Linked DNA regions of Rattus norvegicus. The protein of the gene in region 2 interacts with the protein of the main gene of each other region in a pairwise test. Links are inferred from orthologs where the notes say so. Each region holds a gene or a part of one and is shown on either strand. Other genes may lie near its edges.

The links.
Region 1: the proteins of Hap1 (region 2) and Hmox2 interact in a two-hybrid assay, tested with the Homo sapiens proteins (2 studies listed by BioGRID and IntAct). The link is inferred for Rattus norvegicus from reciprocal best matches to the Homo sapiens genes HAP1 and HMOX2.

Annotation. Positions count from the first base shown.
Region 1 is NC_086028.1:11,334,829-11,338,736, forward strand, and holds the start of Hmox2 (heme oxygenase 2), read right to left. Parts: upstream 2,785-3,908; 5' UTR 2,678-2,784; exon of another isoform or gene 2,468-2,677; intron 1-2,467.
Region 2 is NC_086028.1:85,783,565-85,787,472, reverse strand, and holds the start of Hap1 (huntingtin-associated protein 1), read left to right. Parts: upstream 1-969; 5' UTR 970-991; coding exon 992-1,382; intron 1,383-2,321; coding exon 2,322-2,398; intron 2,399-2,724; coding exon 2,725-2,841; intron 2,842-2,953; coding exon 2,954-3,132; intron 3,133-3,277; coding exon 3,278-3,377; intron 3,378-3,482; coding exon 3,483-3,549; intron 3,550-3,908. UniProt on the Homo sapiens protein: Originally identified as neuronal protein that specifically associates with HTT/huntingtin and the binding is enhanced by an expanded polyglutamine repeat within HTT possibly affecting HAP1 interaction properties.

The DNA.
Region 1 (3,908 bases), about 74 Mb from region 2:
ACACACAATTTTGTTGTTACTGTTTCAAGACAAGGTTTCTCTGTGCAGTCCTGGATGTCTTGGAACTCTTTCTGTAGTCCAGGCTAGCCTTGAACTCAGAGATCTGCCTGCCTCTGCCCCTAAGCGATGGAATGAAAGGCATGCGCCACCACTGTCTGGCTGCTCCTGGATTTTCAAGTAGATTTATCTTGCACCCCAACTGCAGCTCAGATACTACAAAAAGTCTGAAAACCAATGCCTGGCTACAAATTTTGCCATGCAAGAGAATCTCTATTGCTAAGATTTGATAATTGGGGGTTGGAGAAATGGCTTAGCAGTTAAGAGCACTGCTCATAACTGTCTATAACTCCAGTTCCAGGGGATCAGGCACTCTCACACAGACACAAACGCAGGAAAAACACCAATGCCCATAAGCAGCTAAGGATGTCCTCGAACAACTCCAAATGCTGGGATTAAAACAGAAGATCATCATCTCTCATACCAGAGAAATTCCCACTGGTTGTTCCCCAAGCCTCAAAAAAAGAAATACATTTAACTTTTTACTTAACTATGGCCAGTAAGATTCAAAGAAGCATATCTGGGGTTTTAGTTTGTTTCGTTTCTCCAAGGAGTGACAACCGAAACTACGAATTTTGCTCTGAATTATGCAATTCCAGTTTCTAAAAGATCTGCCTTCTGGGAAGGTGATGCTCCAGTTTTTGGTGCAATACTGATGCAAAGTCCTTTAGGATCAGCTACTAAGGGAAAATTTTTAAAAATCAAGGTAGGCCCAACTATGAGAGTCTGCAAGTTTGAAAACTTCTAAGTTAAAGACAATTAACATTTGACCTCTGCAGCTCAGTGGCTTTATCAATTGCAGAGCACTCGTATTCGCTATATCTCAACATCTCAACTGACTGCCCTAAGCAAAGAAAAAAAGAAATTCAAGGCAAACCAGAGGACCCTCAGGATTTCCTCTTCAGATCCCCAGTGGGATCAGGTCACTCAGTGAGCATGCAACTTTCCAAGGCTCACGGACCTGCAACTCTAGTCAGTGTTTTGGCCCGGGCACTTTATCAGAAAATGTTTACAATTTTATCAAGTGAATTTATAAATATCCTACTGAACTGGGAACTCCTAGCAAACATATCATGTCTTGTGATGTTTCTGGGGAAAAAAAAAAACCTGAATAAATACTTTTTACTCTTCAAAGAAACTAAAAACATTGATAAACGCTGTAAACAAAACATACAGTTACCTCCCGGCATGATGTACACACCTTAATCCCAGCACTGAAGAGGCAGAGGCGATAGGGTCTCTGTGAGTTGAGGCTTATCTATAGAGCCAATTCGAGGACAGAACTAAATAATTTGAGAGATCCTGACTCAAAGGGGTAAAAAAAAAAGATTTAGGCTGAGTTCATAATCCTAGCAGTTAGAAGACTGAGGCAGGAGGATCTCAAATTCAGTCAGTGTAGACTACATAGCAAGATTTCCTTCTCAAAACAGAAAACACAGGGTAGTGTTGAGGGTTCACTAGTAAAATACATGCTCATCATGTTCAAACTCCACCACCACCAAAAAAAAAATCTTTATTAATAATAATGTCACATATTATATGATGTTTATAATAACTACTATAAACATTAGCACCATACCAGGAGCAGGAAAGCACAAAATCTCCTATACGGCTGGACTGTTTAAGGCTAGTATGACCACTTGAACAACATAACCATTTCTTATCTCTAATCCACTTCTGAAAAATCACAGGATGCCCAAGCAGAACTGCGATCGTCTGTGCCGTTATCTTGCCCGTGGGATATTAGTGGATTTACTTCACGAGTCTCTCAATAATCTCATTTTATAGGTGGTGAAACACTCAAGGACTTAGAAAGGATTGAAGAGCAAACGCTCTCCCTCAATGGGACATTTCATGGTGTTTATGTCTCTCGGCAACACTCCCTCTGGTTGAGTTTGTGGCGCCAGCACTAGAACACAGTAAGGATGAACAGCCACAGGCCACAACAACTGGTCCTTCAGAACCGATTTAAATGGCATGGCTCAGACAGCCCTTGTGCAAACAGTGTACAAGGCGGTCCCGGCAGTTTTTACAGGGCAATTAAGTCACCTGGAGACCTGTGCTTTGGAGGTGATAGGTGACCTCCTGGTCCAGACCAACCGGCTACATCTACGGCTGAGTCTTGCACTCCGCACCACAGGTCACTCACTCATCAAGTCCCTAAAGGGATTCTAAGGGTTCTTGGCACCGAGGGGAGCCACTGAAGGCCGGACCAAGAAGGCCACCACGCCCCAGGCTCCTCTGGGACTTCAGGTAGGCTGGACTGCTGCACTAACTTCGACCCCGGAGTCACCTCCTCAAGAGTATTCGTGACGCTGGGAGGAGCTGTGCCCTACGGGAACACCAGAGGACTCAAGGGGATGGGGCTCAAAGGTCTTCTAGAGCGCGATGTCCGCAGTTTCGGGCTCACCTGACGCTCAAGGCCCGCTCGGTGCCCCCTCTCCGACCCCTAGTCTCCTGCTCGCTCGCCCGCTTCAGCCCGCTTCCGGCCAGCCCCCGCCCGATGTCCCCTCAGGCTGAGGGCGAGTCACCGAGAGAAAGCCGAGCAGAACTTTCGAAGAAGGCCTCCGCCAGGTTAGGACCTGGGAGGGGAGGACTGGGGACCGAGCGGGCCACTCACCCTCAGCCGCTCTGTAGGTCAGTCAGTCTCCGCGTCAGCGACTCCCTCCGCACCGTCGCAGCCGAGCCGGCGAGCGCGAGGACCGCAGGGCGGCAAGACGGCAGGACGGCAGGACGTGCGCACGCAGCGAGGGGCGGAGCCATAGGCCACGCCTCCAGACGCGCGGCAGCTAGCAGGAGGCTCCTGGCCAAGCTGACACTGCCTTCCAAGACTGCTTCGGGAGTGGTAACATTAACCCGAGAGGAAGGAAGCGTGTCAGTAAAAGCCAACTGTTTGTTGATCGAGAATCGGGGCTCGGGGCAGGAGAGATGGTTCAGCAGTTAAGAGCACTGACTGCTGGGCTGGAGAGATGGCTCAGTGGTTAAGAGCACTGACTGCTCTTCCAGAGGTTCTGAGTTCAATTCCCAGCAACCACATGGGATACAATGTCCTCTTCTTGTGTGTCTGATAGCTACGGTGTACTCAGATAAAAATAAATAAATCTTTAAAAAGAGAGAGAGAGAATCGGGGCTCAAGCCTGGAATCCTAGCACTCGGGGGAGGAGTGGGGGGACAGGGATGGGACTGAGGCAGGAGAATTCAAGAGCAACAGTGTGAGCATTTATCAAAAAGACAAAAACACAACAGGATTGGGGATGTAACTCATTGGAATACAATTATTAGATCCTTAACACTGCAAAAAGAAAAAAAGAAAAAAGAATGAACGCTTTGCAGTGACATCATTTTCTTGCTTATCCTCTTATATCTGTGCATGTATGTAGGAGCCAAGTTAACCACTTGGCACTTAACACACAAGCCCCTTGACAACTTGGCACATAACACGCGAGCCAGCCCTAGGAAGTTCCAGTACAAACGATCATCTTCACTCAGGTCTCTGTCCACCTCTGCTAACAGTCCCCTGTCTGTCTTCTGTGTGGACCTTGTTTGTGGGGACTAGAGATGTAGCTCGGAGTAAGTAATGCTAAGGATGAGGGGCCAATTCCATTCCCAGCACCTACGTTGGTTGTCTAGCAACTGCCTGTAACTCCAACCTCAGGGGATCTGACGCCCTCTTCTGGCCTCTGCTAGCACAGGCACATACCAACACTCAAGTGCGGCTAATTCAAAAATAAAACAGCTTTCTTCTTTCTTTTTCTTTTCTTCCTCCCTCCCTCCCTCCCTCGCTTCCCCCTCCCCTCCCTTCTTCCTTTAAGAACTCACTTAAGTAGCCTAGGCTGGCCTCTAGCGCAAGG
Region 2 (3,908 bases):
CGATTTTGAGATCTGAGTCCATGAGTCACCATTTCCTTTTAGCCTGTCTCGCAGTCTAAAAGCATAGACATGGCTACTGCCCTCCCTAGCTCCCACCCCCCTCTCCCAGTTCATTCAGGACCGAGAGCAAGCTTCCAAAGCATCTATTTCTCTGGGGAGCCCACCGTCCATGAACTGAAGAGCATAGGTAAAGTCGTGAAGACCGACATTGATCCTTTCAGACCCCGGGATAACGGGTGTTTTGGTGTGTGTGTGTGTGTGTGTGTGTGTGTGTGTGTGTGTGTGTACACGGAGGTCTGGAAGAGTCGTCACAGAGAAACATTTAAGTAGGATCCCCTCCGAAGATGCTTGGACTATATATAGGCCTTGCGAATTAGGGTTGGAGATAAAAGAACGAGTGGTGAACGCAGTAAGATGGAAGGCGTCTAGGGGCGAGTGCGGGAGTGTGAGCTCGAGGACCTGTGGATGACACGCAACACGTTGAAAGCCATACCGGAGTTTGGATTTCTCGCTTAATCCACCTGGGAAGACACAGGCGTACTGCCTCGATTCTCAGGTCACCTCGGAATGTATTCAATGTTGTGTAGAACAACAGAGAAAGCCCCTGGAAGCTGGGGTGACGGGAGCGCGCGCGGGAGGGCTGGGAGGGGGGGGTTGTTTCTAGGCAGAAGCTACGGGTCCCTCTACTCAAGTCCAGGGAAGCCGCGGCTTTGGACAGAACCATTCTCAGAAGATGGAAGGGAAGAGAAACCCATCATCGTGAACTCGATCCCATGGAAAAAACTGGGCACTCTCTCATCTCTTTCTTTCTTCTTCATTCATTTACGTCCTATTCCGTCACCACTGGCTGCTTTCTCGTAGGATCCCGAGTCCTCAGCACCACTAATTGATCAACGGTCACCCCTAGCGCCACACGTGGTACAGCCCAGTGGCGCCCGCTCCGAGCACAGGTTATAAAGGCTCGGCTGCGACAGCGGACTGCAGAGTCAAGATGCGCCCGAAGGAGCAGGTGCAGAGCAGTGCCGGGGACGGGACGGGGTCGGGGGACCCAGCAACAGGCACCCCCACGACCCAGCCTGCAGCGGATCCCGCTCCGGAGCCCTCGGCAGAGCCCAAACCTGCTCCGGCGCAGGGAACCGGGTCCGGACAGAAATCAGGATCCCGAACCAAGACAGGAGGAAGCTTTTGTAGGTCCAGGATCCGTGGCGACTCGGACGCACCATGGACCCGCTACATATTCCAGGGGCCTTACGGTCCCCGGGCTACTGGCCTGGGCACTGGAAGGGCTGAGGGAATCTGGAAGACGCCAGCCGCGTACATCGGCCGAAGGCCCGGCGTGTCCGGCCCTGAGCGCGCGGCGTTTATTCGAGAGCTGCAGGAAGGTAAACTGAGTCTCGGGGATCCCACACTGGGCGTTATTAGGGCATCTCTAATAACCACCGACTCAGGCGCCCCGCCCCCTTGTGGCTCTCAGTCCCACCTTTCCACCACCCCTGCGAGACCACTGTCCGCCGTGCCTGTTTGGTTTCCCTTTCCCCATCTTTTCCTCTGTCTCAGGTTCCCCGATTATTGTAGGTGCGTCAGATCTAGGGCTGTCTTGCTCTCCCCGCCCCCCTCTTCGCGCCTGTTGCTGTGGCAGATCTGCGCACTCTCAATGCCCCCTCCCCGTCTACCGCAGTGCCAGCAGAGGGGCGGGGGTTGCGGGTGCGCTGCCGGGTGCGCTTTGAGCCTGCGCTAGCCCGCAGGACCAGCCAGCGTGGGTGGGTAGAGCGGGGGGCGGGGCGGGAGCCTTTGACACTGCTTGGCCGGAGGGGTCTGGGTCGCGCTTTCCTGAAGCAGGATTGAAGCGGGAGGAGTGGGCGGGGCACTGGCCTTCTGTCCCTCCTCTTCTGGGCGGGGCAATTTTAGGCTGAGGTGCCCGCTTCTGGTGCTGAAGAAGTAAGTCTACTTGGCCCTCCTGTCACATGCAACAGGTTTAGGATGGGTTACGTGCATCTGTTACGATCGAGGAGTCTCCAGTGAGCTGGCTAAGCTGCCGACTGAGTCAGGCATGATGAATCCAGTATTTCCCCTGACTTCTTATCTCGAGGGACCAGAGACCCAGGGGTCTTGAAAGTCTGGTTCCTGAGCCTGGAGGATGGTTTTGCCTTTACAGCACCCAGGCCCCTCCTGAGAAGGCAGGAGTGCTGAGATCCGGAGCTGTGAAGAGGGTGTTAGGGCCAGATAGAACGCAGTCTCACCACTTTTGTTGTGAGGGATGTAGGGGGCTGTGGGCAGCCTCGGCTCCTTTCCCTGATCCACTCAGGCCTTTCCTCCTGCAGCGCTGTGTCCTAATCCACTGCCCAGGAAGAAGATCACCGAAGATGATATCAAAGTGATGTTGTATTTGCTGGAAGAGGTGGGTACCGCCTTGCCTTCTTCACTCAGGCCAGCCCTCATTTTAGCTCTTCCCTACAGGACTTAGGGCTTTTGTCTGTTTTCTGCTTGCCTGGGTGCCAACTTGAGGGCCCCTTTCCTGAAAGGCACATAGATTTCAGAGGACCAAATCTGGGCTGATCTTTTTCCTCAGGATGAGAAACTGAGTCAGACCCCAGAGTTGGTTAATAGTCTTTGGTTTAGTACTTGGACGGCTGGGTGCTGGGGCAACTTTCTTCTTGTGGCTTAGCCCCTGCTCTCGCCCTCCTGTTTGGGAGAAGTATGGAATGGTTGGCTCTCCTTTTGCAGAAAGAACGGGACCTGAACACAGCCGCTCGCATCGGCCAGTCCCTGGTGAAACAGAATAGTGTTCTGATGGAGGAGAATAACAAGCTGGAAACCATGCTGGGCTCAGCCAGAGAGGAGGTATCTGGGCTCCTAAGGACCAAGAGGAGGGTTCGGCTTGTTCCCTCCCCCAACCAGCACCTGTTCTGCCCCTCCGTGCTCACCTTTCTGCGGCCCCTTTCTCCTGCCCTAGATTTTACATCTCCGGAAGCAGGTGAACCTGCGAGATGATCTCCTTCAGCTCTACTCGGACTCCGATGACGATGAGGAGGATGAAGAGGATGAGGAAGAGGAAGAGGGAGAAGAGGAGGAACGAGAAGGACAGAGGGACCAAGATCAGCAGCACGACCATCCCTATGGTGCCCCCAAGCCGTGCGTGTTCTGCCTTTGTGCCTCGGTTGTCCGTTTGTAAACGGGCATGGGCAGTTAGCCTGCTGGCATTGCCTCGTCTGGGGAAGCCTTGGGGGACTGGGATCCTCCACCCCTTACAGTCTGACTCTCATTGCCCCCTTGCCAGGCCCCCTAAGGCTGAGACGCTGCACCACTGCCCACAGCTGGAAGCCCTGAAGCAGAAGCTGAAACTGCTGGAAGAAGAGAACGACCATCTTCGAGAGGAGGTGAGGACAGGGAGGGGGCGTGCCCTTGGGCAGGGGAGGGTGACTGACGGCGGGGGTGGGGGGGGATGGTGGCGGCCTTACCCCTTCCTATTCCCCTTCCTCCAGGCCTCCCACCTTGACAACCTGGAAGACAAAGAACAGATGCTCATTCTGGAGTGTGTGGAACAGTTTTGTACGTGACACTGTAATCCGGGGAAAGGGCGCTGTCCCAAGAGCTGATAGGAAGAACTCAGGGTTTGGGGTCTGGAGATGCAGTCCTGGCTCCGGCACTTTGCCGCTGTGTTAGCACGGCCAAATTCCTCGGCTTCTCTGAATCTTCATCTTTACAATGAGGACTGATAACCCCGGCCTGCTCTTCATCCCCTCAGGGTTTATGAGGGTCAGGAGAAGCATCACCGTTGAGCATGGAGATGCACTGCACGCATGTAATCTCAGGGAGGGTCAGGTGTTGACGACTCTGGAGGGAAGGGGATGGGCGGGGAGAGCAGGTACTGAGGAAGTAAGATCGATGCAGAAGCTGCGGAGGTCATC